Linked DNA regions of Macaca mulatta. The protein of the gene in region 5 interacts with the protein of the main gene of each other region in a pairwise test. Links are inferred from orthologs where the notes say so. Each region holds a gene or a part of one and is shown on either strand. Other genes may lie near its edges.

What was found.
Region 1: the proteins of PNMA1 (region 5) and FBXL18 interact in a two-hybrid assay, tested with the Homo sapiens proteins (2 studies listed by BioGRID). The two-hybrid records come from large-scale screens. The link is inferred for Macaca mulatta from reciprocal best matches to the Homo sapiens genes PNMA1 and FBXL18.
Region 2: the proteins of PNMA1 (region 5) and METTL17 interact in binary tests that used the Homo sapiens proteins (3 or more experiments, as listed by UniProt). The link is inferred for Macaca mulatta from reciprocal best matches to the Homo sapiens genes PNMA1 and METTL17.
Region 3: the proteins of PNMA1 (region 5) and RUSC1 interact in binary tests that used the Homo sapiens proteins (3 or more experiments, as listed by UniProt). The two-hybrid records come from large-scale screens. The link is inferred for Macaca mulatta from reciprocal best matches to the Homo sapiens genes PNMA1 and RUSC1.
Region 4: the proteins of PNMA1 (region 5) and MAB21L2 interact in binary tests that used the Homo sapiens proteins (3 or more experiments, as listed by UniProt). The two-hybrid records come from large-scale screens. The link is inferred for Macaca mulatta from reciprocal best matches to the Homo sapiens genes PNMA1 and MAB21L2.
Region 6: the proteins of PNMA1 (region 5) and RTP5 interact in binary tests that used the Homo sapiens proteins (3 or more experiments, as listed by UniProt). The two-hybrid records come from large-scale screens. The link is inferred for Macaca mulatta from reciprocal best matches to the Homo sapiens genes PNMA1 and RTP5.
Region 7: the proteins of PNMA1 (region 5) and HOXB9 interact in binary tests that used the Homo sapiens proteins (3 or more experiments, as listed by UniProt). The two-hybrid records come from large-scale screens. The link is inferred for Macaca mulatta from reciprocal best matches to the Homo sapiens genes PNMA1 and HOXB9.

What each region holds. Positions count from the first base shown.
Region 1 is NC_133408.1:43,703,223-43,706,722, reverse strand, and holds part of FBXL18 (F-box/LRR-repeat protein 18), read left to right. Parts: intron 1-61; coding exon 62-280; intron 281-3,500. UniProt on the Homo sapiens protein: Substrate-recognition component of the SCF (SKP1-CUL1-F-box protein)-type E3 ubiquitin ligase complex.
Region 2 is NC_133412.1:93,845,111-93,847,317, reverse strand, and holds the end of METTL17 (ribosome assembly protein METTL17, mitochondrial), read right to left. Parts: intron 1,639-2,207; coding exon 1,588-1,638; intron 1,341-1,587; exon of another isoform or gene 1,331-1,340; coding exon 1,238-1,330; exon of another isoform or gene 1,201-1,237; intron 1,003-1,200; coding exon 818-1,002; intron 744-817; coding exon 638-743; 3' UTR 501-637; downstream 1-500. UniProt on the Homo sapiens protein: Mitochondrial ribosome (mitoribosome) assembly factor. Binds at the interface of the head and body domains of the mitochondrial small ribosomal subunit (mt-SSU), occluding the mRNA channel and preventing compaction of the head domain towards the body.
Region 3 is NC_133406.1:111,658,952-111,662,692, forward strand, and holds the start of RUSC1 (AP-4 complex accessory subunit RUSC1), read right to left. Parts: upstream 2,257-3,741; 5' UTR 2,128-2,256; coding exon 762-2,127; exon of another isoform or gene 491-761; coding exon 80-490; exon of another isoform or gene 1-79. Other genes in the region: putative uncharacterized protein RUSC1-AS1, read left to right, coding at 2,336-3,322; FDPS (farnesyl pyrophosphate synthase), read right to left, coding at 3,304-3,504. UniProt on the Homo sapiens protein: Associates with the adapter-like complex 4 (AP-4) and may therefore play a role in vesicular trafficking of proteins at the trans-Golgi network. Signaling adapter which plays a role in neuronal differentiation.
Region 4 is NC_133410.1:159,159,355-159,163,373, reverse strand, and holds the start of MAB21L2 (protein mab-21-like 2), read right to left. Parts: upstream 2,801-4,019; 5' UTR 1,431-2,800; coding exon 351-1,430; 3' UTR 1-350. UniProt on the Homo sapiens protein: Required for several aspects of embryonic development including normal development of the eye.
Region 5 is NC_133412.1:146,883,643-146,887,793, forward strand, and holds PNMA1 (paraneoplastic antigen Ma1), read right to left. Parts: upstream 2,801-4,151; 5' UTR 1,998-2,800; coding exon 936-1,997; 3' UTR 130-935; downstream 1-129.
Region 6 is NC_133417.1:147,150,780-147,154,758, reverse strand, and holds the start of RTP5 (receptor-transporting protein 5), read right to left. Parts: upstream 2,801-3,979; 5' UTR 2,773-2,800; coding exon 2,615-2,772; intron 2,499-2,614; exon of another isoform or gene 1,280-2,498; coding exon of another isoform or gene 1,122-1,279; intron 1,105-1,121; exon of another isoform or gene 961-1,104; intron 807-960; coding exon 1-806.
Region 7 is NC_133421.1:61,383,614-61,387,717, forward strand, and holds the start of HOXB9 (homeobox protein Hox-B9), read left to right. Parts: upstream 1-1,304; 5' UTR 1,305-1,394; coding exon 1,395-1,911; intron 1,912-4,104. UniProt on the Homo sapiens protein: Sequence-specific transcription factor which is part of a developmental regulatory system that provides cells with specific positional identities on the anterior-posterior axis.

The DNA.
Region 1 (3,500 bases), on a different chromosome or scaffold from region 5:
CCAGCTGGCCTGGCCTGCCAGCCCCTCCCTCGGGCCTCACAGCTGCCCTCTCTCCCCGCAGGCTGGAGCAGCCCTACTTCAGCGCCAACGCCCAGTTCTTCCAGGCGCTGAGCCAGTGCCCCTCGCTACAGCGCCTGTGCCTGGTCTCCCGCAGCGGCACCCTCCAGCCCGATGCCGTGCTGGCCTTCATGGCTCGCTGCCTACACGTCGTCATGTGCCACCTGTTCACCGGGGAGTCCCTTGCCACCTGCAAGAGCCTGCAGCAGTCGCTTCTCCGCAGGTGAGTGATATGGGTTGCGTACAGCTTCAGGGGCTGCAGACATCACCAGCATCCCATGACCTGGTCCCCAGCCCTCACCGAGTGCCTACCAGGGATTTCTTGGAATCGACAAGCACCAGGCAGTGACAGGGTGAAAGCAAGGGGTTTGGTCTCCCACGCGTGGCCCGACCTCTCCTTGAGCACTCCCTAGCCATGTGGTAAATTTTCTAGATAGTTCAAGCTCTCCTCTCCCACAAGTACAAAAGTCTTCTTCTTTCTTCTTCTTCGAGTCTGAGTCTCACTGTGTTGCCCAGGCTGGAGGGTAGTGGCGAAATCTCGGCTCACTACAACCTTTGCCTCCTGGGTTGAAGCGATTCTCCTGCCTCGGCTTCCCAAGTAGCTGGGACTACAGGCGTGTGCCACCAGTGTGTATTTTGTATTTTAGTAAAGACATATTGGTTCACCATGTTGGTCAGGCCGGTCTCGAACTCCCGACCTCAGGTGATCTGCCTGCCCCGGCCTCCCAAAGTGCTGGGATTACAGGCGTGAGCCACCGCGCCCGGCCTGCAACCATCTTTTAACTCTGGATTTTTCACATCTCTGCACGTTGTTTAGATCTAGAAGCAGTGGTTACTTGGGCAGTTGTGGGTAAAAGCGGTAGATTTAACAGAGAACCCTTCCTTCTCCCTCTCCTCGCCACCCTTTCTGGAAGGCCCACGTGCTCTGGCCCCTCTTCCCTGAGCTAGCTAGCATCTCCACTTCCCCTCGTGACAGGGCGTCCTGGAGTTTGATGCTCTGCTGCTGAGCAGGAACTCAGGTGAGCACCTAGAATTGAACACAAGTCAGGAGGAGGCGATTCCTGGAGAGAGCTAGAGCTTCGCAGGCGGTCTGGGGAGTGACGCATTTAAAGACCTCTCAGGAGGACGGGCTGAGTGCTGAAGTGAGCAGGGCTCCGGAGAGAGGCGTGCGCCCGGCCAAGGGGGCAGCAGGACATGAATGCCCTGAGTGTTCGTGTCCCTGCAGGTGGGGAGAGGTGACAGGAAGGAGGCCCCAGCTGTTCACAGAGTTGCGAGAAGAGCCACCAGCCAGGAGGTCTCGAGCCATTGGGTCCCGACAGCCCTGCTGGCCAGACTCTGGAGCAGTCTGTTGGCCTTGCGGTTTGCCGCTGGCTTTCTCAGGAATAACCCTGGTTGGGGTTTCCCCCTCTCTGGTTGTAAAAACAACTTGTGTTTATAGTACTTTTTAAAAATTTAGACTATGCATCAACCTTTTTTTTTTTTTGGAGAGAGTCTCACTCTGTCGTCCAGGCTGGAGTACAGTGGCGGGACCTCAGCTCACTGCAACCTCTGCTTTCTGGGTTCAAGCGATTCTTCTGCCTCAACCTCCTGAGCAGCTGGGATTACAAGTGTGCACCACTATACCTGGCTAATTTTTGTATTTTTGTATTTATTTATTTATTTTTCAGAGACAGAATCTTGCTCTGTCGCCCAGGCTGGAATGCAGTGGCGCGATCTTGGCTCACTGCAAGCTCCCCCTCCCGGGTTCACGCCATTCTCCTGCCTCAGCCTCCCGAGTAGCTGGGACTACAGGTGCCACCTGGGACTACACTGCCACCACGCCTGGCTAATATTTTGTATTTTTTTTAGTAGAGACGGGGTTTCACTGTGTTGGCCAGGATGGTCTCGATCTCCTGACCTTGTGATCCACCTGCCTTGACCTCCCAAAGTGCTGGGATTACAGGCGTGAGCCACCACACCCGGCCTAATTTTTGTATTTTTAGTAGAGACGGGGTTTCACCATGTTGCCCAGGCTGGTCTCGAACTCCTGATCTTAGGTGATCCACTCACCTCGGCCTCCCAAGGTGCTGGGATTACAGGTATGGCCAACATCAACCTATTTTTAAGTGAAGGTTTCCCAACAGTGAAAGCTGCCAATTTTCCCTGGAGAATCAGCTGGAGATAGGGTTCTCATGTTGTTTTGTAATCTGATTTTTAAAAATGTAGCACTACACCATAGAGTCTTCTTGTGTCAGTAAATAAAGCCCGAAGTGATTGTTCTCAGTGCTGGCCTGATGGCCCTCAATTGGGTGTCTGGGTGGTCAGCCCTGGCTCATGGCTCTTATGGAAAACACGGTCACTGTGTCCTTGACTTTGCTTTGGATCTTGTCTTTGCCTGCAGTGGAACCAGCGGGGCAACCTGGGTGGTGGCCAGAATGTTTCAGTTTAGCCCCTTGGCTCTGCTTCCTCACACCTTAGCATCGTTGTGCTGTGAGCTGGATGTGACGCCTGCTGATGTGTGCCCCCTTTTAGGAGGGCTGAGTGGGTCACAGGCTCCAAAGGGCTTAGCCGAGTGGGCTTGGGGACAGGCGGTAGCTGTTGGGGGAAGGGGCACACTGTGCTCTGTGAGGCTGTGGTACCCAGAGGCCAAAGCTGGGTTTTCTCAGGTGTGGCTGATGCAGGCAGCTCTGCCCTGTCAGCTGCGGGAGGAGCCTCGGGCCTTCTTCCCCAATACGCTTGCAGCTGGACTCCACTCACAGGCCCTCCAGCCAGTGGGAGGCTGCGACTGTGCACCCAGAGCTGCCACCTCCTGCGTAGGTGTGTTTTGTTGAAGGGACTTGGGAGTGGGTGTTGCCTGTCTTCTGTGGCCTGTGAGTCTGGGGCCCTAAGACCCAGCCCATGTGGGGCCGTCTCAGCTCTGCAGGGGTGTGGCTTTTCCTGCAGCGATGGGGACTGGCTCTGGGAGTTCTCTGTTTCCCTGCTGCAGCGGAGAACATCCACAATCCCCAAGCAGTTCAGGACGGCTGCGCTCATGACGGGGCGGCCCCCGGCCCCACCCTCGAAGGCTTCCTGCTCCGATGAGCCTGCTTTTCCTTCTGGTCCTCAGAATCCTCTCTGCATGGCGCTGCAGGTGGGTTGGTTGGACGTGGCACCGGATGCCAGCCCCTGCTTTGAGCTGCTCTCCTCCATTTACCTACTGCCTGTGGCCGGCTCCGGGAGCTTCTCCTCTGGCCTCCTGGGTTGACCTGCACCTGCGTGTTTCTTAGGCAAGTCTGATGATCTAAGGTGGATGCAGGAAGCTCTTTACGTTCTCCGGTTGGACGGTCTGTTTTTTGAAGGCTGGTGCTCCATAGCTCTTCTTTGGTGTTTTTGTGTCCTCAGGCACAAGCTGAGCCCGGCGCTGAGCTCGCAGGTGGCCCCAGAGGGCGCTGGTTACACACAGGTGCCTGGGAGAGCCCTTGATC
Region 2 (2,207 bases), about 53 Mb from region 5:
TCATACTCAGGCACCAGGTTCCCCCAATTCATTATACATTTTTCTTGCTTCTGCTTTTATGTTTAACTTGTACATTCATCATTATAGCAAAGGGCTTATAGAAATCTGGTTTTTCTACTTCTGCTTTAATGATCAGCTTACACATTCATCATTACAGCGAAGAGCTTATGGAGATCTGAACTGCCACAATAGGAGAAGGCGAGCTTGAGATTTGTGTGGGAAGCTTGGCATCAAAAATCTGAGGAAGCTCTTCATTACAGGATAGACCAGGATAATTAACTATACCTTTTACTTTTTTTTTTTTTTTTTTTTTAAAGAGAGGAGATCTTGCTCTGTCACCTAGGCTGGAGTGCAGTGGTACAATCACAGCTCACTGCAGCCTTAACACCTGGGCTCAAATGATCCTCTTGCCTCAGCTTCCTGAGTGACTGGAAATGCAGGCACATGCCACTGTGCCCAGCTTCTACACTTTTTAAGAATCACAAAATCCACTTCAATTCTTTAAAAATTTATTATTTATTATTAAAAATCTCAAACAAACACAGACATATGGGGATACCAGCAGTCCCCTCCTGGATACCAGGTAGTGTCAGCCCTGGCAGGCATGATAGAAGAAAATACTTGTTAGACATCCTTGTCAACTCTCAGAGGGATCTTGAGCAGTGGATGGAGGAAACGCAGACGGAGTAAGCACAGGTAAAAGATCTCCCCAGGAGCTGACACGGGCACAACGATACAAATCCCTATGGAAATGAGACGTTAATGTGGGCTGCAGGTTCTTGCCACATCCCACTAATTTTGGTCACACCCCCTATACCTGCCATGCCGGCGGGCTGTGATCACAGCATGCTGCATATGCCCATCTGGACAGCACAAGTGACAATGCACATGGCGAGGTCGTCTAAGGACAGGCTGAGTGATACGGGGCCAGCGATTAGCCTCCTCTGGAGACCCCCGAGCAAGGATCACCATAGAGAACTTTTCTTCCTTTGGTTTCTTGTTCTAAGATAAGGAACATAGAGACTGTTTAGAAGAAAAACATATGGGAAAAAAGTTTGTCAAGCCCCTTCTTCCCCATTCCTGCAGTCCTTTTTTACAATGTGTAAATCATATACATGTAGGCCCTAAAGTCTCTAGGCTATTCTGTGAATTATCCAACGCCTCCTAACTCTGACTCTTTTTCTTCCTGTTTTTTCCAAGATGTTTGCTTCCTGCTGCAATATCCCCAGGTACCTACCCAGCGGAAGGGGATGGGATGGTACGCCTGTGAGAAGCTACACGCCAGTGGCCTAGAGGTTGTCAACTGGGGACAAGGGAGTTCATGGGGACACTGTGAACACATAAAAAAGTGAGGTAAGACAAAAGAGCCATCAATCACAAAACTTAAAAACTAAGAATAATAGAGTCAAAAGGGGCCAGGGAGAATGGAGGACAGGAACAGTGGGTAGGAAGAGCCAGGAGAATCATTAGGTAGGAACTGGATAGGAACACAAAGTAGTGGAGAGTGGCTTAGCTTTACCATCTTACTTTTTCTGGCCACACCTGAGTTCAGATCTGTGTGGTGGGACAGGTAGAAGTAATACTTACCGGGGCAAAGACAAAACTAGGTCGAGGGTCCAAAGGTGACTTCTCTTTTCCCTGAAATCAAAGGAAATAAAAGAAATAAAGCTGGGCCAGGTGTCTATTTTCATAACTCAATCTCTGCAGTCAGTAAACTGAGGACTCCTTTAACATTCAATTCTAATAACGATTAACTACGTCCTTTGAGTTAAGCTGGCTGCATCTTTAATACTCCAAACAAAGAACTTTCTCTTTGCTGCAGGAGAAAGGCAAGAACTTGGCACAAAGTACAGTGCTCTCCCTTGTCAGCAACCTCCACTCTCAAAAAAATCCCACTCCAGGACAATGAAATTTATGATTATACACTGGCTCATACTCTCCCCCAGTGACAAGGTTCTCAGCTCAGCAATGCCCTAGATTAGGAGTCCGCAAACTTTCTTTTAAAAGGCCAGACAGTAGGCAAAATCTATCTCTGTCCCAACTACTCAACTCTGCTGTTTGTAGTGTGAAAGCAGTCACAGACAACAGAGGCACAAATAAGCATGGCTTATATAAAAACAGGTGGCAGGTCGGATTTGATCCACAGGCTCTCATTTGCCAACCACTGCTCTGATTCATAATGACTTTATATGCCCAGTTTCCTGAGA
Region 3 (3,741 bases), on a different chromosome or scaffold from region 5:
GATAGTGGGAGGGGCCTTGGAGCGGGCGGGGCGGCCCGCCTGAGGCGTGGCCCGCGGGGCTTGCCCGGGTCCGTCTTACGTAGCCTGGGCGGAGGCGATGGGCTCCTGGTCCAGCGAGGGGCCTTCGGCGGACGAGGTTGCGGTGGCAGCGGGGGGGCGGGTACCTGGCGGGGTGGGGGAGCCGCGGCGGGGAAGGTGCTACTTCTGGGAAAGAGCGGGGACAGCAGCAGTGCCAGCTCGGGGCTGGCCAGGCAGGGCAAGGCTCCCCGAGTCGGAGGCGAATAGGCTCCCACTGGGGACAGGCGGACGGGCAGCAGCTGCTCCTCTGGGGGGCTCGGCGCCCCCAGCAGCCGCAGCCCAGCGCCAGGCCACCCTGCCAGAGGAGCCAGGAGCAGAGACCCAGCTGCGCCTGCGCCCCCACCCTCCAACAGGGGGCGCCCGTCGGCCGAGAACCGGAAAACCAGGGGCCGAGGGAGCAGGAGGGGACCGGCTGCAGGCGGGATTGGCGGGGCCAGGCGCAGAGGGAAGGAGGGCAGCGGGATGGGCAGCCAGGCAAGGAGGGGCGGGAAGAAGAGGGAGCAAAGAGTTAGTCCCATATCCCAATGACCCACCCAGTTTCCCTTTCCCGGAGCGCTCCCTGGTAGAAGGGGCGGGGAGGATGGGTGACACAGAATGGAGGGAAGACAGGGGGCCGGGTTGGAAGCCTAGGAGGCGTGAGCGGCCGAAGCCCAGCCCTCCTCCCGCTTCTTGCGACCTCTTACCCTCCAGGCCGGCCTGCGCGCCCGGCTCTCCCGGCTCCTTCGCGGCTGGGGCCTCCTCGCCAGCCGCTGGGCTGACAGCCCGGCCCTCCTCGGACTGCCCCTCCGCTATGGGCTGCAGTCCAGGTCGGTTCTTCTTCCTTCGGGGAGGGACAGGCGGGGGTGGGGGCCGGGGCGGGACCAAAGCCCAGCCAGCTGGGGGGTCTCGAGGCGGGACTGGCGGGGGTGGGGCCCGGCTTCGGGACCGGAGTTCCTTGAAGGTGGTGACTTCCCGAGGAGGTGCCGAGGAGCCGCCCAGCGACCCCGAGGGGGGCAGCTCGGTGTCGGGCGAGAAGACTATGAGCCAGTCACTGCGATCTTTCTTGGCCTGCGGGACGAGGGGCAGCCCTGGGCCCCGCTTGCGCTTCTGGGCCAGCTCGTGGAAGGACGTGATTGTCCGGTGGGGCACCGGCTCCTCGCTGACGTCACTTCTCCATCCTCCATCAATTTTCCCTGCATCTGTTTTCGAGCCAGAATCAGTTATTCTTGTGTTGGTTTTCCAACCAGAGTCGAATTTTTCAGGTTCATTTTTCCAGCTAGAGTTAACATTCCCGTTGTTTTTCCAACCAGTGTTACTGTTTTCCGTGTTTTTCCATTCAGCTTTAGTTTTCTCTGTGTCAATTTTCCAAATTGGGTTAATCTTCCAACTGGGCTCCGTTTTCCCAGCGTCGATTTTCCCATCATCCGCCTCTAAGAGCTCAGAGGTAGGGAGATCCTGCTCCGCGCTCTCATCCTCTTCCTCCAAGCCTGGGGAAGGGAGGTCCTGGCAGGTGGTCAGGGCGTTGCAGTTCGAGTCCAGGCCAGGATCGGGTGAAGAAGAAGCTCCGGAGCAGGAATCAGGAGAGCAGCAGAAGCTGTCCGGTGAGCAGGTGCCAGGGCCTGCTGAAGCCAGTGGGGAACCTTGCTCCAGGGGGATGATACTGGGCTGAGGGTGGGCATCCTCATCACCAGGGAGGTCCCGCAAGTAGACTGAGACGGGGGACTCATCGGGGCTAAGATCTGAGCAGGAGCTGAGCGAGGAAGAGCAGCCTGGGTCTGAGGGAGAGGCAGCCCCCTCTTCCTCCTGTGATGGGTCCTGCCGGTTTTCTAGGCCCGGACCGTGCTCCTGGCAGCACCGGCAGGGCACAGCTGGGCTGTTGGAATTGGCGTCCACCAGGGTGCCACTGCAGGGGCCCCTGCTCTCCTTGCCCCCAGTGTCTCCTGGGGGAGGGGATGTGCTCAAGGGCCCTTCCCGTAGCTCAGGACGGCGGGACAAGTGCAGGCCCAGGGAGACGTGCTGGAGATGGATGTGATTGAGGTTGCAGAGTAAAGCTCTCTGAGGAGACAGCATGGTGCCAGCGGCGATGGGATGGCTTCTAGAGAACCAGGAGGGTAGGGTCTCTCACATCCACCTACCTGGCAACCACAGGTGCAGACCTAGAAGACAGGGGTGGCGAAGCCCAGCCAGTGAGGACAGGAGCTGCGGGAAGGACACTGAGGTGACTGACGGCAGCAGCAGGCCTGAAGGCTCTGGCTGCTTTGGAAGATATTTCAATGAGATGCAAATCGCAATCGACTGGCCATTAGTTTCCACTGCAGTGTTTGCAGGTGGAGTCGAATGTAACCCTCCGGGAATGGAGCCGGGAGGGTCAGAGAACGCGGCTGCGCTCTGGATTTCCGAAGGGGGGCGGGGGCCCGGAAGAGGTCCGGGCCCAGAATGGACCTCCGGGTCCCTGCTGCCGCAATCTGGCCCTGCCCTCCTGCCTACCCCTTACTCCCACAGGAAGGGACCCAGGGAGACCCACCCAGATGCCCTGAAAGGAGGCGGGGGATGGGGGTGGGTCGATATGCAGAGTTTGCCTGGTGAATGCAGGAAAGGGGTGGGAGCTGGAGAGGAAAAGGATGGAGCAGCCGTCAGCTCGTCAACTCCACATCTGCTGGCTGCCTCCGCCGGGCTCCAGCCTGCGCCCTCGCCCCTCAGAACAGCGGTATGTCCATTCTCTCCGCATTCGTCTCCATCGTTCAGTCACCACCGCACCCCTTCTCTATTCATTTCTCCTGCTCCCTTGTCCTGCCCCGCCCCTCGTGCCCTGGTCCATCGGCCTACACCCATGGGCCGAGCCCTCCTCACCAGGGTCCTCCTGGAACCGCTCCGGCCTTGGGCTTGTCCTCGGCTCCCACGGTCCCCGCCCGGCGGGGCACAGAGCGGGAGGGGAGGGGCACTAGCACAACCCACTCTGCGCAGCGCATCTGCACCCCTTCGCGCATGGGCGTGGCGTAGCTCAGACCCGCCCCCAGCGCTTAGCGTCTTGTGTCACCCACCTAGCGGGTTTGATGTATCCCAAGCTTTTGGCCCTGATGCCAAGGCCCCTGGGTCCCGCTTCTGTGCAGCGAGTCCTCCCAGCACCCCACCCCGCACATTCTGGAAAGAGCCAGACTCTGGCTGCGCCGAGCAAGAACAGAACCACAAAAAGGTTACACAATTATTTATTGAGAGCCTCCTCTCCCCATCCTTGCAATCTCTAGGTCACTTTTTCCGCTTGTAGATTTTGCGCGCAAGCCCCAGAAAGATGGCTGGGGGCAGGGGCGCTGCGTACTGTTCAATGAGAGCCATAATGTGGCTGTAACTGTCCTCCTCATATTGCAAGAACACAGCCTGCAGATCCAGCTCCTCATATAGTGCCTTCACCCGGGCCACTTTCTCAGCCTCCTTCTGCCCGTAATTTTCCTAAAAGGGGTTGGAAGACAGGAAAACGGGCTTGGCCTTCCCCAGAGCCTCCAGGACCCCTCCACTCCTCTCATTCTCATATTTCAGAACATCTCCAAAGCCACCCACTCCTTTCCTCCCTCCAATTTTCTTTTTTTTTTTTTTTGAGATGGAGTCTGGCTCTGTCGCCCAGGCTGGAGTGCAGTGGCCGGATCTCAGCTCACTGCAAGCTCGCCTCCCGGGTTTACGCCATTCTCC
Region 4 (4,019 bases), on a different chromosome or scaffold from region 5:
GGATAGGGGGAAAGAAGGAAAAGGGGGAAACTACTATACATTGATTTGAAAATGTACCTTGGGTTTCATTTTGTGGTGGCACAGCCCGATTGCTTCTTTTGTGTGACCTTTTAAATTCACATTGTTTGGAAGAAAACGATCACTTTTGTGCAAGAATGTGATATCTTTTGGTTGGGTTGCTCTCTTTTTGTTTGCTTCTTAATTAACGAAGGTCTTCTGCCTGATTCCTATTTCAGGTGACTTACATAAAAGTTTGTGTCCAGAGTTTCTGCTGTTTATCGCTGAGTTGTGTGTTGTGTGTCTGAGAGAGCACGCCTGTTTGTGTCGCTTTTCAAGCAGTCCCCAGCACCCTATAGTTTGTCCAGGCTTTTGGGATTGGTGAGAATTTCCCTGGCCAACCTCCAGGTCTGCTTGGCAGCGCTCTCCAGGGCCGAATGGGGCTTGCCCTGAAAGAGGTCGAGGTTGGGCAGAAAGTAGTGAGGGCAGCGGCGGCACTGCAGGCAGGAGATGAGCTGCAGCAGGATGCCGTTGAGCCGGTCGCCCAGGCACGACTCGTCCCAGTCCGTTTCTCGCGGGTGTTTCTCGCACTCGTACAGCAGCAGCGTCTTCATGTGGTAGTTATTGAGCGGCTGGCCGGGTAGCTCCAGGTGGCGGTCCCGCAGAGTCTTCAGCACTGAGAGGCACTTGTTTCGGCAGCCTCCCATCAGCAGGCGGTTCTCCGCCTCTCCGAACTGTAGCACCCAGGCGTCGCTCTCTGCCGAGCTCTGCTTGCCGGTCAGCGAGTAGCACTCCTTCGAGAGCAAGTTGAACCCTTCGGCCTTGACCTCGGCCACCCTATTGGGGCCGGGCCAGGGGATGTGGGGCATAGGCCACTGTGCCGCGCTTCGAGGCCAGATCCCGGTGCACTTGAACGCCGGAGTGATTTGCACCACATAGCGCTCTCTGATGCGCAACTTGACCTCGCTGGTGTCCGCAATCATCTTGACCACATCCCGATAGCTGCACTTGTCCACCGCCTGGGCCACCAGCGTCTGGAAACGCGAGCGGATCTTACGCGCTGAGAGATAGCCCGACGCTGTGATGAACTCGACCCAGAGAGACATGCTGCGCTTCCGCCCATCGCTCAGTTTGAGCACCGCGCAGCCCGGCAGCGAGCCGTCGTCCACGAAGTTGAAGACGCCCATCTGGTTTAGGTAGAGCACCACCTCAAATTCGGTGGGCGAAATGACCTCAAGCCCCTCGTAGCGGGCATCGATCTCGCTCAAGGAGCTGATGAAGCGAGGCTCCTGCACCTCCACTTCCTTGAGCACGTCCGAGACCACCTTACAGACCTCTCGAATGGTTTTGGCGATGGCCGCCTTGCGCGCCTGGCAGCGCTCAGTGTAGTATTTATTGAGCTGGTAAACCAGCTTGGCCTGAGCGGCAATCATGTTGGGGCACAGGTCCGGGCTATACACCGGCGTCTCGCAATACGTTGAGGGATCCAAGGCTCACGCACTGGTGGTGGCCCAGCGGCTTTCGAAAGAGGCGGTGCGCTCCCCGTTAAGCCCCACTTTCACTCTTGTTTTCCACCTGGGCTGACCGGCTGATACTGTAGCCGGCTTGTTTTTTCCTTTTCCCTCTTTCTAAACCTTTTTTCTTCTGCAGAAAAATTAGGGGAGAAAATATGATTTTCTAAAAAGAAAAGCACCTCCTGGGACCTTTTTGCTTTCTCTTGATATGTAAAGACCGTGTGCGAGAGAAGCGGGGTGGGGGTGAGGAAGGAGAAGGAAAAAGAAAAAAACTCAGGATACCAAAAGGTTAGGCTTAGATGTCTGCAGCCGAGATTGCCCAGAAATCTGAAAATGAAGTTTTTTAAGTGCCAAAGTAAATTTAAAAATAAAAGCGAAACATTCAGTGGTTCATTCTTAAACTTTTCTTCCACGCTGCTAGGACTTCTTCGCTCAGTGTAGGTGAGTGCCGTCTTCCTCACCCTCCCCCAAGTGGAAGGTGCAGGAGGTAATTAATGTTCAGAGAGCTGCGAAGTACAACTCAGTCCGCCGTGCACTTGGAGGTTTGCTGACGCCTCGCAGTCTCAGCGTGTTGGTCTCCTCTCTTCTCAGGGGGTCGTGTTGTCGCAGTTTTCCTCTTTTCCTACTGGAGGCGTTGTTTGGACTGGGTTGGTTTGTTTGTAGTGGGTTCTTCTTGTATTTCTTTAGGTGCAAACCGCTGGAAGTTGTTTGATAATCATTTCTGCTTCGTAATTTATACTTTTGGCCCTCACAAAATCCGTTTTAGTGTGACGAAGTCGTTGCTTGCGTTGCATCTGGGGTGTAGTTATAACGATTCAGGGTTTTCCTTCTTTAGGTTGCTTGTACAGATTCCACTTTCTGAGTCGTCTCTCCCCCTCCTTTCCCCTCCGACCTCTTTCTCGCCCCGCACTCCCCTGCTTGTCTCCCCCTCCCCCCTTCCTCGTGCTCGCTCTCTCTTCTCTCCTTTCTCTCTCCCTCTCTCCCTCTCTCTTTCTTTCTCTCTCTCCCTCGCTGTTTCCTGGAGTTATTTAGTTTATGAATGGTCCCAGGGCCATCATGAGGGGGTGGAGCTTCAGTTCCTACAATCGCTATCCGAGCTGTCAGTGCTTTAGCCAATCCGAGAGAGAAGACAGGCAGGCTTGGCGAACGGTAGCAGCCACCACTGCACTTGATAAAGAAAGAGGGTAAAGAGAGAAGTAGGAAAATAGGAGGAGATAATGGAAGTCAAATACATGCACACATTTTACAGCCCTTCCTCTTTATCCTCCTCTCTTATCAGTAGCAAAGAAGAAAAAGAGTTTATATAGAAGGGACTCTCCTGGAGATGGCTGGAATAACGCGAGGGAGAGTAGCAGTGGTTCAGAAAGGCTCACTTTTTTTTTTTTTTTTTTTTAAATGAATCTATCAACATTGTGTAGGAGAAGGTGAAAACTGTAACAAAATTACTTTGGCTTGAAGGCAAGTGGGAGGAGACAGGGGAATCTGGGAAAGGACCTAATTTTTCCAGGTTTTTTCCTCCTTTAAAGTCTTACTCCTTTCTCTTCCCCTCCCCTCCCATTGTTGCCAAGAATCAGAGCAATCGCTGTATATGTGCACCAGTGGGGGTTGGAGTGGATATAAGGTGAGGGTTTATAACCATAAATCTCTTTTTAGTAATTTCGATATGCTGTTGAAAAACAGGGCAGGGCAAAAACTAGTCCAAGCACCTTGTTTGATAATTATTTCATAATTAAGATTCACATATATTTAATACATTATTTTATCGTTGCAAGAATTAACTAGTTACGAGAGAGAAAATATCTAAGTTGTGAGAAATGGTGCAAATTTATATGTCGTAGAACTTAGTAGGATATACTTTTAAAATAAGCTACTAAAATTGTTTCAAACTTAATGAAAAACAAGGGAAGTAAATATAAACCTAAAGTTTTCTTAAAATTGTACTGTTGTAAATCTAACTGTGAATGTATTCTTAGGGGGTACAGGTACAGTTTCATTTGTAAAATGATTTTATTTTCATAATTGACTCTTGCTTTTAAAAGACTTCACTGCCACAAAAATCTATAACTATCCTGTTATTGATTACACAGATGGCTTCACTCCTCCCTAGGCATTTCAATGAAAGACATGCATGTGCTTTTTAGTACATGTATTATCCTAAACAAGTTGTACCCACTGTACCCTTTCGATACTTTTGGGTGAAAAAAACAAAGCTAGAACATTGTTTCTGATTTGCTTAATATTGAGGGTTTATGTATGAACCTAAAATGTCTGGATTCTGAATCTTTTTAACGTGTATCAGGTAGACGTGATTATTTTTAGTTTGATTTCGGAGGTTATATTCCAGCCCTGGGTTATGCGATAAAAATAAAAATCTATGAGTCCATTTGGGTGAAGACTTCGTTTTAGAAACCTGGTAGTTTGGCTTTTTCAAAACCCCTTGGGAAGGCTTGACTTACCCTCTTAAAGTCCGCCCGGGTGAACCTGAATTGAATTGCATAGGGTAGTTAA
Region 5 (4,151 bases):
CATTTAAATTCACATAGTATCATACAAAGCTTAAGAGTAAAATAAATGGTTTAATGACAAAGTCTTCATAAGAAAAAAGGACAGAGTTTACTTAGGCTAAAAATGTTTATACATGCCAGAAAAATGAGAAGACAACAGAATTTTTAAAATATTTTAATTTGTATATATAACTTCAAATTTAGAACACTCAGTATGAACAAGAACTATTCTCTGACAAAGATCTGAAATGGGGAAGTGAATTACTGTACAGGTGCATATCAACCTCTCCATGCAATTTACATCTGTATCTTATGCAATGAGAAACTGGTTTACACAGCTCCGTAATTGCAGTATTTTTTTAACACCCCATTTTGCAGTCTCAGAATACTTTTCAATTAAACTGATCGACATGTTTAAAGATGAGAAATATGATGTTTGCATTGTAAAGTTGAGTAATAGCTAATAAATGCACATTTCCTTCCATCAATATAAATCTGGAACTATTTATGGTAAAGAAAAATCTATCTGCGCTATCAGTAATCTAATAGTTCATACTTTTACTGAACACTTCCTGTGAGCCAGGCCCCGTAGTAAACATCTGCACATGCAATTTCACATTCAGTGTGGAATAGGAAGTGTCAGAGGTTCGTGTGTTTTTCACAACTGATTATGATGTCCATGATGACAGCGTGCACTAAGCGCTGTGTCCAACCAACCCTTTACCTGGCACTTTAGCCAGCAAGACCCACTTGCATTGTAGCAGCTCACGGTGCTCGCTTGCACAATTTTAGAATGTTACATGAATACTCAGGCCTGACTAACCTTCCCCTCCAAAAAAACAACAAAACGGAACAGGGCTAAGCCTTTACTACTCAGAGACACATCTGTAAGACCCCCACAGGGACAAGAAAACTAGCTGTGATCTAGGTCTGCACTAAAGCTGTCTTTTCTGGCACTCAGAAGTGCCCTTCCAGGCCTAACTGCAGAAGGGTGGCCTCAGCCTCCTCCTCCTCCTCCTTGGCTTCCTCCTCACGGATCTGCACCAGCAACTGAAAGAGGTTTGGGGCCGGCCCTTCCCCAGCCCCGGTAAGCCACAGCTGCCTTCGGATGGCCCCGCTGTGGTTGGCCCCAGCAATGACCTGCTCTAGGCGGGCCTGGTTCACGTTATCTTTATCAATGGCCCCCTTCTCTACCACCTTCTGTAGCAGAGGCTCCAGACGAATGACATAAGCAGACAATTTTTCTCCCGGGTTCTGATAAGTGTTCAGAAATTTGATCTGGGCATCCCTAGAGCTCTCAACGCTCCCAAACACCTGCTCAAGCGCCTTCAGGCATTCGGCAGTGGTTATCGCGGGGTTGTTGGACTTGAGGATGCGAATGACATCAGCGGCAGGGCCTCTAAGGCTCTCCATCAACCGCCGCCTCTTTTCTACATCGGACACCTGCCACTCCTCTAGGACCTCATTAGTGTGCTCCAGCCAGGGATCAAAGGTTTCCTCTCCAGGCCCTGGGATGTCCCTCCCCGAGAAAAGTGTCAGCCTCTTGTACCATATGGACTCAACAAGAGGCTGAATAACATTATCCAAAATATAGTTTAGCATCTCTGCTGGCATCTCTGGGCCCGGGGTCGGAGTAGGGTTCTGAAACCCAAGGACACGGGCAACATCTTGCACGGTCCACCCCTCTCTAGCTAGGAAGAGGTGCAATCTTTCTAAAAATTCAGCATCAGAAGTTGGGGGCTTAAACAACACTTTCCAGACCCCTCCTTTGCCCGGCATCTCCCTGGGGATCGCGGCGTAATCGACAGCGCCAGTGAGCTCTAATAAGGCTGCTTTCGCATTTTCTTCCCTCCAGAACATTCTCCCAAGCATTCGGTAGGGGACCTGGGGCATCGCTGCCTGGAGGGTCTCTTCGATTTCAGCCTCATCACAGTTCACTGGGATGCCCCAGACCAACAGAGCTCTCTGGGAGTTCACATCCATCCCCCGGCACCAGTCTTCCAACAGTGTCATCGCCATTTTCTCAACTATCAAGACGCCAATTCTACCAACAGACTGTGGCTCACCGTACTCCTGGCCTTAGAACAATACCAGACACTCCCACCAAGTAGGCCCAAGGGAGGTAGGCTTCATGCATTCACGACTAACAAAGACACAGAGTCCTGATCTCGCCCTTCTCTGCCCCCCCAGTCAGTCCGTAGGTACACTTGGAGCTGAGCTCGGGGACGCTGAGGAAGTCACGCGGCCGTCGCCATCTTGCGTCTGGGTCCGGGTCCGGTCGGGTCTGCCGCTTGCAGCCGGGCTGTCGCGTCGTCGTGCAGCGGGCAAGGAGCGAGGGCGGGCGGCGAAGGCAGGCGCGCTGGGTCGAAAGCAGCCGGGGTGTGGTCGCGGGGCGTGCCCGCCGGGCGCTCGCTGCGGCTCCTGGAGAGGATCGGGCGTTCGCGGTCGCAGCCTGGTCTTCCCGCGGGCGAGGAGCGGCCGTTTGGGAGACTAGCCAGAGGGAGAGACTGTGCCGAAGTCGCGGCGGCTGCGGGCCAGCGGAGAGCGGCTTCTTGGAGGGCGTGGGGACTCCTCTTGGCGGGCGCGGGGACTCCTCTGGGCGGGCGGCGAGGACGGCCGAGGACCAGAAACGAAGGCAGCAGAGGAGCAGGAAAGCCGGAGAAGCGAGGCTGGAAACAGCACAGGCAAGGGTGGGCAGCGGCGGCCGCGGCGGCCTGCAGCGGCTCAGGCGCTGCGCGGCTGCCCCAGCGTCGAGTCCTACCCGCAACCCGCTGCGACGTTACTGCTGCAGTGGAGGATGGGGCCAGCCCGCGAGCGGCGTCAGCCCCGCCCCGTCCCGCCCCTGTGGCGGAGCCGCTCGGGCGTCGCCATGGCAACGGCGCCCCAGCTGGCGCGAATCACGCCTGCTCCGGCGGCCCGCGGGGGTCGAGCGGTTGCCATGGTGCCAGCGAGGGGCTCGGGCATTTGTTTCTCTGATGGCGCATTTCCTTTTTCATAATTTTCCATTTTAACAGCAAACAAATACTGCTAAGCACCGTGTTTTAAAAATAATAACCCAATCCTGGAGTGGATTTAAGATGATACTATTGGAAGTCATGGCATCCCTCATGGTGGACTTGTCTACTCGGGTTGCCCAGCCAGTCCACCCTGCACGTGAAAATACTCTCCTCAGAACCCTGGCTTCCCGTTACCCCTGACCACACTGTGCACCCTGCGTATTTTATCCCAATGAAGCCGGAGTGCGCCATTTTTTGTGTGAGATACTGAGTTTAGACTTTTTCTTGTCTAAACTTTTGTAAACATCTGTTTGTCTGTGTCTACTGAGTCATCTTTTAGCCAGGCAAACATTAGTGTTATTTTCCTTTTCCTGGCTGGCATCGACAATAGGCTGCTAAAAGAGAATCCTTATGGCTCAAAAATGTCGAGTAATCTCCCTGCAAGCAAGACAAGGCCCACTTACATCAACCCCAGATGGTGAAAATCCCGAGAGAACATAGCATTCAACTCTGAATTTTTAAAACCTTATTTAATAAAAGGTTTAAAGATACAGAAGAACATTCAAAAGTAAATAAGTTACATAGGTACATTACAATCACATCAGCAAGATTCTTTAGTGTATTAATTTTTTCTTATAAAAAGCACACAAAAAATAAAATCTTCAGTCTCTATCACAACTGTACAGCAAAAGAGGTAATATTTATATGTATGTACACTATTTTAATATGTAACAGTCTTTTTCAAAAAGGGTGCCACAGGCAGCAAACACACAAAAGGCAGTGTCTGATCATTTTTGTTTCAAAATAAAAGGAATATACTTATTTATATGCTATTAAAATATTTGTACAATAATTACAGACTGTCAAGGCTGTTCCTGTGCTCTGTCCCCTCCAACAAGGCCTTCAACTTAGAGACAAATGAGGAAAAAGTGAAACAGCTGCAAATTGTTAGAGGCAAATATTAACATAGCAAAATGTGGGGAGGACACAATTGTTTTATAAAAATATCCCTACTTCCTGTAAACCTATGGAGTTAGGCTTGCCAGTCTGATAATAAATACCGTCCCAGAAAAGCGAGCCCCAGTGAAAACAACTAAACAGCTGAGGCTTGAGCATGTGTTGTATTCCTCCTTCATCTTAACATCTGGCACATGAGAAGAAAGAGGTTAGGTCACTG
Region 6 (3,979 bases), on a different chromosome or scaffold from region 5:
CAGGGACAAGGCCATTGTTGAGGGAGACGGGGCCCCAGCCCTGGGCCACGCCAACGGGGCTACAGAGGGAACCCCGGCCCTTGAAAAGGAAACCTTTGAGCTCGAAGGTCTGGATACTGCTGCCGAGGAGGCCGGGGCCATGGAAGAGGGGGTCTCCAATGGCCACTGGGAAGCCTTTGCCCCCAGGCATGGCCACAGAATCCCCAGACAGGTAGATGGAGCCCTGGCCAATGACCAGAGCCCCATGGCTGCCGGTCACAGGGAGAGAGGCCTCCTGTGAAAGAGAGGCAGGGATTGCAGGGCTCTCAGCGATGGGCACCTGGTCATTGCTGGCGCGCACAAGGGAGAACGGGATGGCGATGACACCACCACCCTTGCCGAGGTCATCGCCGGAGGTGGGCAGCTGTTTGCCCCTGGAGACGGCGCCGGTGCCACCCCAGGCCGTGGCAGGGAAGTTGCCTGTCGTGGTGTTGGTGCTCCAGGCAGGGTCTGGGGCCTTCTGAAGGAAACAGACCCCCAGCTCGCAGGCCTCACAGCAGCCCTCGTAGGCCTCCCTGGGGTGCCGGGTTGGGCCGAGGCCATCCCCGTAGCAGTCCTGCAGGATGTGCAAGACCAGCCTGCTGAGGAAGGGCCGCTCGCCTGGGGGCCTCACCTGGCAGTCCCCGGGCGCAGGGCACAGCTTGCACCGCTGGCCCCAGATGCGCATCTTCACCAGCCCCCGGCGGCCGGCCCTGTCCCACCACAGGTGGAAAAGGACATGCACGTGGGCCGAGTCCCAGGTCCCCGGACAGCGACTGCACTGGAGCCTGCGGGGGAAAGAGGTGCATGTGAGTGCAGCAGAAGGAGGCCCCACGGCCGGGCCTCGCGCTCTGTTCTGTGGCCTCCTTGCCCATCCGACCCCAGCGCCTCGCTGCCCCCTGCCTCGCATCCCACACTCAAACCCCAAACCTCAAACCTCACCCGCCAGCCACCCAGGGCCACGGCCAAGGCGGCCCAGCACCTGCTCCTGCCTGTGCTGAGGTTCTGAAACCACCAGCCCCTTGGCCACACGGGCAAACGCAGGCCCATGCACGCTAGCTTGCAACCCCCTCATCTGGAGCGCTGTTCTCAGCAAAGCAAACCTCCTCTCAGCAGTTTTGCAGCAAAACCCGCTCTGGCCTGGCCTCTGTGAGGTGTCGGCCACCTGCCGCCCGCGTGGCTCTGCTGGTGTTTTGTGAGTTGGGGTTAACACAGGAAGAGGCAGGCCAGCTGACACACTTAGAAGGGGAAAAGCATGCATCTGGGGGCTGTCCCTGGGGGCTCAGCAAGGGGGGTCCCTGTCCTGACTGAGAGGAGGTGATCCCCCCGTCACCTGCCAGCTGAGGGAAAGGGCGTCACTGAGGCCTGCGGTCATGGCCCAGGCAGCCCTGCTGGGCGTCGCCAGGCGAGGGGAGATTTGGGGAGAGCACTGGGAGAGACTGGCTTGTCCACAGCAGTCACCAGACCGGTGACCATTTGCTAACCACACAAGCAGCTGTGAGCTTCAGGGAACCCTGCATGAATGAGAGGCTCTGCTTCAGTTCCACGCAGTGGAACTTTCTGGATGACAGAATGTTCTATAGCCACACTGCCCCACCTGCAGCCGGCAGCCACACTGGCCACAGAGCCCGTGGACACGGTCGTGCTGGAGGAACTGAACTGCTGACTGTATTTAAATGGGACTGAGGAGCCTGCCAAAGCCACAGGCGCTGGGGCTCATGTTGGGGCACCCGTCCTCAGTTCTCTTCCGCCAGCTGGGAGCCACTCAGAGCCATCTCCGCCTGGCTGTGGGAACGGTGATGTGCTTCCAAGCACTTCTCAGACCCCAACATGGGTTATTACTTTCCCAACTTCTGAAAAAGCTGGGATTCTGCACACACCTGGCCCCAGGGGTCTCAGGCACTAAGGGGCTGTGTCCAAGGGCAGGATGACTCCCCCTTTGCCCAGGGCATCTCCACAGAGGGACTGACCAGCCGGCAGCCTGGGGGCCTGTCAGGCCGGGCGTCTGCGAGGCTGTGGAGCTGCCCTGCGCCCCTCCCGGCTGGCTCCTGGCAGAGCTGTGGATGCCTTGCCGGGTAGAGAAGCAGATGGGGCCCACCCTGTTGTGCTGACGGCACCACGACCATGACGATGGCCCGTGAGGCTCACATGTGACTCACAGCCACCCCGGGCCCCCGATCAGGGCCGAGCACCCCACCGTCTGCAGCGCAGGGCTGGATGGTGACCACAGGCACCGGCACGCCCCAGGGCCCACCTGTCAGCACAGACAGCTTCGAGGCCACGGCACTGCCATGGAAACAGGAGATAAGCCTGTGTCCAAGGGCAGCGCTGGCCTGAGGAGCCGAGTGAGGGAAACCAAACCCTCCACGAGGCACCCGCCATGTCTTCCCCGGGACCCCTGCGTCAGCAGCCGTGTGCCCAGCATGGCGAGGCAGAGGCTCAGAGGGGAGAAAGAAGGAGCACCCAGTCCCCCCTCCCGTCTCAGGGACAAGAAGAGGCCCGACAGCCCCACCCAGCCTCTGGGACCACCCAAAGTCCTGTGGAAAAGCACCTTCAGCCCCCTCCCTCTCCCAGGGTCCCCAGCCTCTGGCCGCACCTCGAGAGCCCCACCAGCAGGTACTGGACGCCACCGCCGTCCAGGCGTCCTGGGACCAGGCTGTGCTCAGGTAGCAGAACCCAGACGTCCTGGGGTTTCCTCTCGGCCATGGCCAGGGTGAAGGTGCTGGCCCACATGTCTGCCCCAGCCCCGTCCATGCTGCCGCCTGGCTCCGCAGTGCGGGCTGAGGGCTGCGCCCGCCGGGGGCCCAAGGAAGCATCCCTGCATCCGGCGCCGGCCAATCAGCCACCTTGACAACAGCACGGTCTCCATGGCAACCAGATTTGTCTCCAAGAAATGGGAAGCAGAAAGGAAAAATACAATACAATGCAATCTCCCATGACCCCGCCACCCAGAGAGCATCCCTGTGGCAGCAGCACCGTGGGGGCGGCAGCACCGTGGGGGCGGTAGCACCGTGGGGGGCCCGTGGACACGCAGGGGCCTCCCCAGACCTGTGCGTGTAGAGGCCCAGGTGTTTCCACACATCGCTCTAAGGAATCATCCCCAGCCCTCTCTTTCTACTGCGCACCAGGAACGGTGGCCCACACTCATCCCTTGCTGAACACTTCGTATTTGTCCAGCTTGTGGCTGTCATGTAACTTACTCACTCAGCTTCTCTCTGCAAACAGCACTAACGCTTTTCACACAAACAAAGCTGAGAAGAACTTTATAGAACGTGTATCACTGCAGATTGTCCCGTGGGTGTATTCTCTTAAACGTTTTACTAGTGAGAAATATAAAATATTTACGTAAAATGCCTAAAACATAAATGCAGAGTTTCACAAATTATTCTAAAGTCTTAGTCACCACCTCCCAGAGGAAGAAAGAGAACCTCGCTCTGCCAGCCTCCAGAGCCGACTGCCTGTTCGCTCCCGATTTCAGCCCGCGGCCCCACCCCCACCCTGGCAGAGGTGCCACCAGCCTGGCCGTGCCTGCACGGACCACGATGAGGCTTCAACACCTGTGATGCCTCCCTCACCGAGCCCTTTAGCTGTGCAGCTTCTGAGCTTCACGTAAACACCCCATGTGTGTGCCCAGCTTCTCACACCTTTTCAGGTTAGTTTGTGAGATTCAGTGGCATTGCTGTGCATGGCAGCCACCTGTCAGGGCACAACAAGAAAGGGTGAGCTGAGAAGGAGCTGGGACGTGCAGGGGCGGAGGCAGCCGGCGATCCCTACAAAAGCTCAGCACAGATCTGCCCCCGGGAGCCTCCAGGCCGCCCGGCTCTCCTCACAGCTCCCATCTCACCATCTCTCTGCTCTGCACACTGAACAATCTCTTCTCATTTTTCTACCACTTCACGCATTATCTCCTCGTCTCTGTCCACTCTGCAGCTCACGCTGGCAAGTGAGTGCATGTTGTCAT
Region 7 (4,104 bases), on a different chromosome or scaffold from region 5:
CTGGCCCCTATATCGGTGTTTGGAAGTCTCCAGAGCAGGAGCCCTGGGTGAGAGGAGTGATACAGGAGGGCTGAAAACTCAGCCCAGGCTCCTTCCTCTTTGGATGGAAGGGGAGATAACTTGGGACCCCTTCCCTTGCTGACTGGGGATCCTTTCCCAGGCCTCTACTCTGGTGACACCTCAGGGGAGTGTCCTTAACCCTTTCTGCTATTCAGCTCCTTCATCAGGGCAATTTTAGGGGCCTGGGTGGTTATTCAGTTATTCAGTGGAGAAAAGGAGAAATGGCAATTCCCCCCCCCCTGCCGCCCCCACCTCACCACCACCATCTTAAATCCATCCTTCTGGCCAGAGTCAGAAAGGCCCAATAAATGTAAAGGCGCTCTGGTTCCTTGTATTAAACTCTTTCCTAGGCTCACGTTTCCGGGGCCTGATGGATCCCTTTAACCTCAAGCAGTTTCTAATTTCAGGACAAATAGTGGATTCTTGGACACTCAGCCGTTTTATTCACCTCTCTCCTCTTCCCTCAGCTACTGAGGGGTCCAGGGAAGCTCCCAGTCATGTAAATCTCTACAAATAGTGCACAGAGAGCCCCCTCCAAAGCGGACAACGTCCTAAAATCCCCAACTTTTCCCCTCATCCTTTTACTTCATCTCCTGTGGATTGCTGCTGCTGCTGTTGTTTAATAAACATCTTCTGTCAAGGGGACAGAGAAGAGGAAATGAGGGCCTGTGGGGTGGAGGTGGAGGTGTGTGTTGGGGGGGACAGGACCACCTCCTCTTCCAGTATCCTCTCGGGCCTCTGTGGCTGCTCCCCGGGCTGGGGCTCTCTCCCTCCCTCCGCCCTTGCTCTCCCTCCCTCCCCGACCCGCCTGGGGAGAGGGCTCCACAGCCTGCGTCCCTCCCGAGGCAGCCCGCCGCTTCCCTCCGCCTCTCCTCCGCCCCCGCCGCCCCATGTCGAGAACTGCCCCCCTTCCTGCAGCGGGAGGGGGGACCGGGCAGCCGGCAGCTCAGGCTGAGGTTACGTGGCCGCCGGAGCCCTGACGTGATAGCACATTGCATCAGCATAAAACAATCCATCCTCGATATGGAATGCGGTGCGGACGGATGACAGCGAGAGCGCAGCCCCCTCGCCCGATTGATTTATGTCGGAGCTGACGCTTTATCAGGCAGTCGGAAAAACTTTGACCAATCATTTTGCAAGGAGCGCTGAGCCTGGCTGCTCCACTGTACTTTGTTGGCTGAGAAGTTGAGCAGGGGGTGGGGGTGGGAGGGTGGGGGGCTGGGGGGGTCGCGTCCGAAAGCCCTCACACCGGTCCGGGTGCCACCTCTCCCTGCTTGGGCGCCGCCGCGCGAGCGCTTCCCTTCCCCCTGCGAGCGCCCGGATAATGTCTGAGAATGTCCATTTCTGGGACGCTTAGCAGCTATTATGTCGACTCGATCATAAGTCACGAGAGTGAGGACGCGCCTCCAGCCAAGTTTCCTTCTGGCCAGTACGCGAGCCCGCGGCAGCCGGGCCACGCGGAGCACCTGGAGTTCCCCTCGTGCAGCTTCCAGCCCAAAGCGCCGGTGTTCGGCGCCTCCTGGGCGCCGCTGAGCCCGCACGCGTCCGGGAGCCTGCCGTCGGTCTACCACCCTTACATCCAGCCCCAGGGCGTCCCGCCGGCCGAGAGCAGGTACCTCCGCACCTGGCTGGAGCCGGCGCCGCGCGGCGAAGCGACCCCGGGGCAGGGCCAGGCGGCGGTGAAGGCGGAGCCGCTGCTGGGCGCGCCTGGGGAGCTGCTTAAACAGGGCACGCCCGAGTACAGTTTGGAAACTTCGGCGGGCAGGGAGGCCGTGCTGTCTAATCAAAGACCCGGCTACGGGGACAATAAAATTTGCGAAGGAAGCGAGGACAAAGAGAGGCCGGATCAAAGTAAGTTATAAAAAGTGAGGAAATACCCAGGCCGAAGGCCAGGAGGGGGCGGGGAGGGGAAAGGCAATAAACTGCCGACCATGTGAAGGGAAACTGCGGCGGTGGCCGGAGAGCGGGCCGGGAGGAGGGGAGAGGAAGGAAAGTCGGAGGGAAGGGGGAAAGCTGCGTGCTCTGGAAGGGGAGACTGAGGCCGCCAGAGGAGCGCTGCCCCCACTTCTTCAAGTAGTGCGGGGAACAGGGGCTCTGGGATCGACTTGCAGCTCTCTCGGCCCTCTTTCCCCTGTCTCCCGGAGGCCCCAGCTGAAAGCCCGGCCAGAGACCGGCGACGGCCGGGAGAGGAGCTGGTGGGGCCGAGGGCCAGCGGCCAGCAAGGCGGAGAGCCGGCGAGGGCAAGGGCCGGAGCGCACTGGGCTGCCCGGGACCGTGCGGCTGGCAGAGCTCCCCGCTCCACGCGCAGACCGTAAAAGCCGGCCAAGGGGAAGGGGGAGGGGGCTCATTAGGATTTTATTTGCGATGCAACAGCTTGGCGGAGAATTGTTCCTAGCAGATCTCGTGCTGTAGCCGCTCAGAGTCCGCAACCGGCGCCGGGAGGGGCGGGGGAAGCCCAGGACGCGGTGACTGAGCCCCCTCCCCGGATGCGCCGGCCCCTCCCCGGGAGCCTTCCCTCTGGTGGCCCCTCTCCTCCTCGGCATCTTCGCCGGGGCTGCCGCTTCCTTTTCTGCGGTCCTTCCTCCACCCCGCTGCTCTCTGCGGGGCTCCCTAGCCCCAGCCCGGGCTGTCCGCCTCTTGGGGAGTCGGGGAATCGCTTCCGAATATCGGGACATCCCGGGGAGAGGAGGGGTGGGGGAAGAGAGGGTTGCAGAGAGGCGGAGAACTTTACCGTTTATGGGTAGTTTCCCATCACCTCCCACTCCTCAAAAGCACCCCAGTCAGAACGCCAAGTCTGGCTGATTTCCAGGAGGTGCTACTAGGTGAGAAGAGAGGGTTCTCCTATTACTTATTTTTAAGGTTGAGAAGGGCCCTTCGGCGAGGGAACTCAGCCCCAAACAATGACTCGCAGGCTGGTGAATCAAGTCCTCGTTTCTTACTCTTTTTGGGAAGTAGGGATTTTTTCGTCTCTCCTTGCCCTGCTAGGTTTCCCATTGACGGAGTGGCCCCAGGGCTCTTTAGTGCATCCTTGCCTGCTGGAGAGTAAAGAGCTGCTCCATTCCCTGCAGGGTCCTGTCACCTCCAACCCGCCAGGTGGAATCCTAAGAGCTGGCATTTGGGGAAGACATTCTTCCCCAACTCTCCCCGCACACTCCCAAACCGACCCACCACCCTAAAACCCCAAACTCTCCCTGAAAAGCCCATTATTGCAAGGCAGCCATTTGGCTAGAATCAATTATTAACAGTTTTTTCCCTCTTTCATATTTAATGCGGCTGCGGGTCCCATCCCAGGCAATCACATTAAGGAAATAGCACTGCAAATTGGTAAGACAGGGTACTTAGTGTAGGATGAACCAAATTTTTTATATATAAAAAAAATCCAGTGTTTTTCACTTGGGGAGAAGGAAGCTAGTAGCTGGTGGCTATTATTTTTAATTGGCTTAGCTTTATTTGGCAACTTTTTTGAGTTCCAGAGCAGGGGGAGAGAGGGTAAGAAGAAGAGAAGCCTGTATATATTTTTGTTTCCTCTCTTCCACTCAGTTACCCTCTTCTCCCCTCCAGCCCCCACATAGGACCAGTTAAGGCTAGGTGTGCTGTGAAGGGCTTCCTTTTACCTCCACATCACCCCTGGCTCCCCACCTTGGGACTGGAGCAATTTTACTCCCCAATTTCCCTGAACTTGTGTTAGCCAAACTGTGAGCTGAGCAGGAGCCGAAAAGGAGAGAGACTATTGCAACCATAAGTTATCTGTGAGCCCCTGGCGCTCCCCTGTCCATAGGCTGGAGTTGATAAATGGTTGCAATTGCGTTGCGTGTGAATTGGAGTGTGCTGCCTGTTTGTGGCTCTAAGTGCAGACCCATATTTGTGGTGTGTGGTGGTAACAGAGGGGGAGATTTCTACACAGACACACATGCCTGCTGCCATGTGGTCTAGAGACACAAGTTTGTGATCAAGGCAGGGTGTACTGGGACTAGACTGAAGGGCTGAAAGGTCTCTTGGGGTGAAGTGACACCCCAAATGTGGTAACTGAACAGACATCTCACT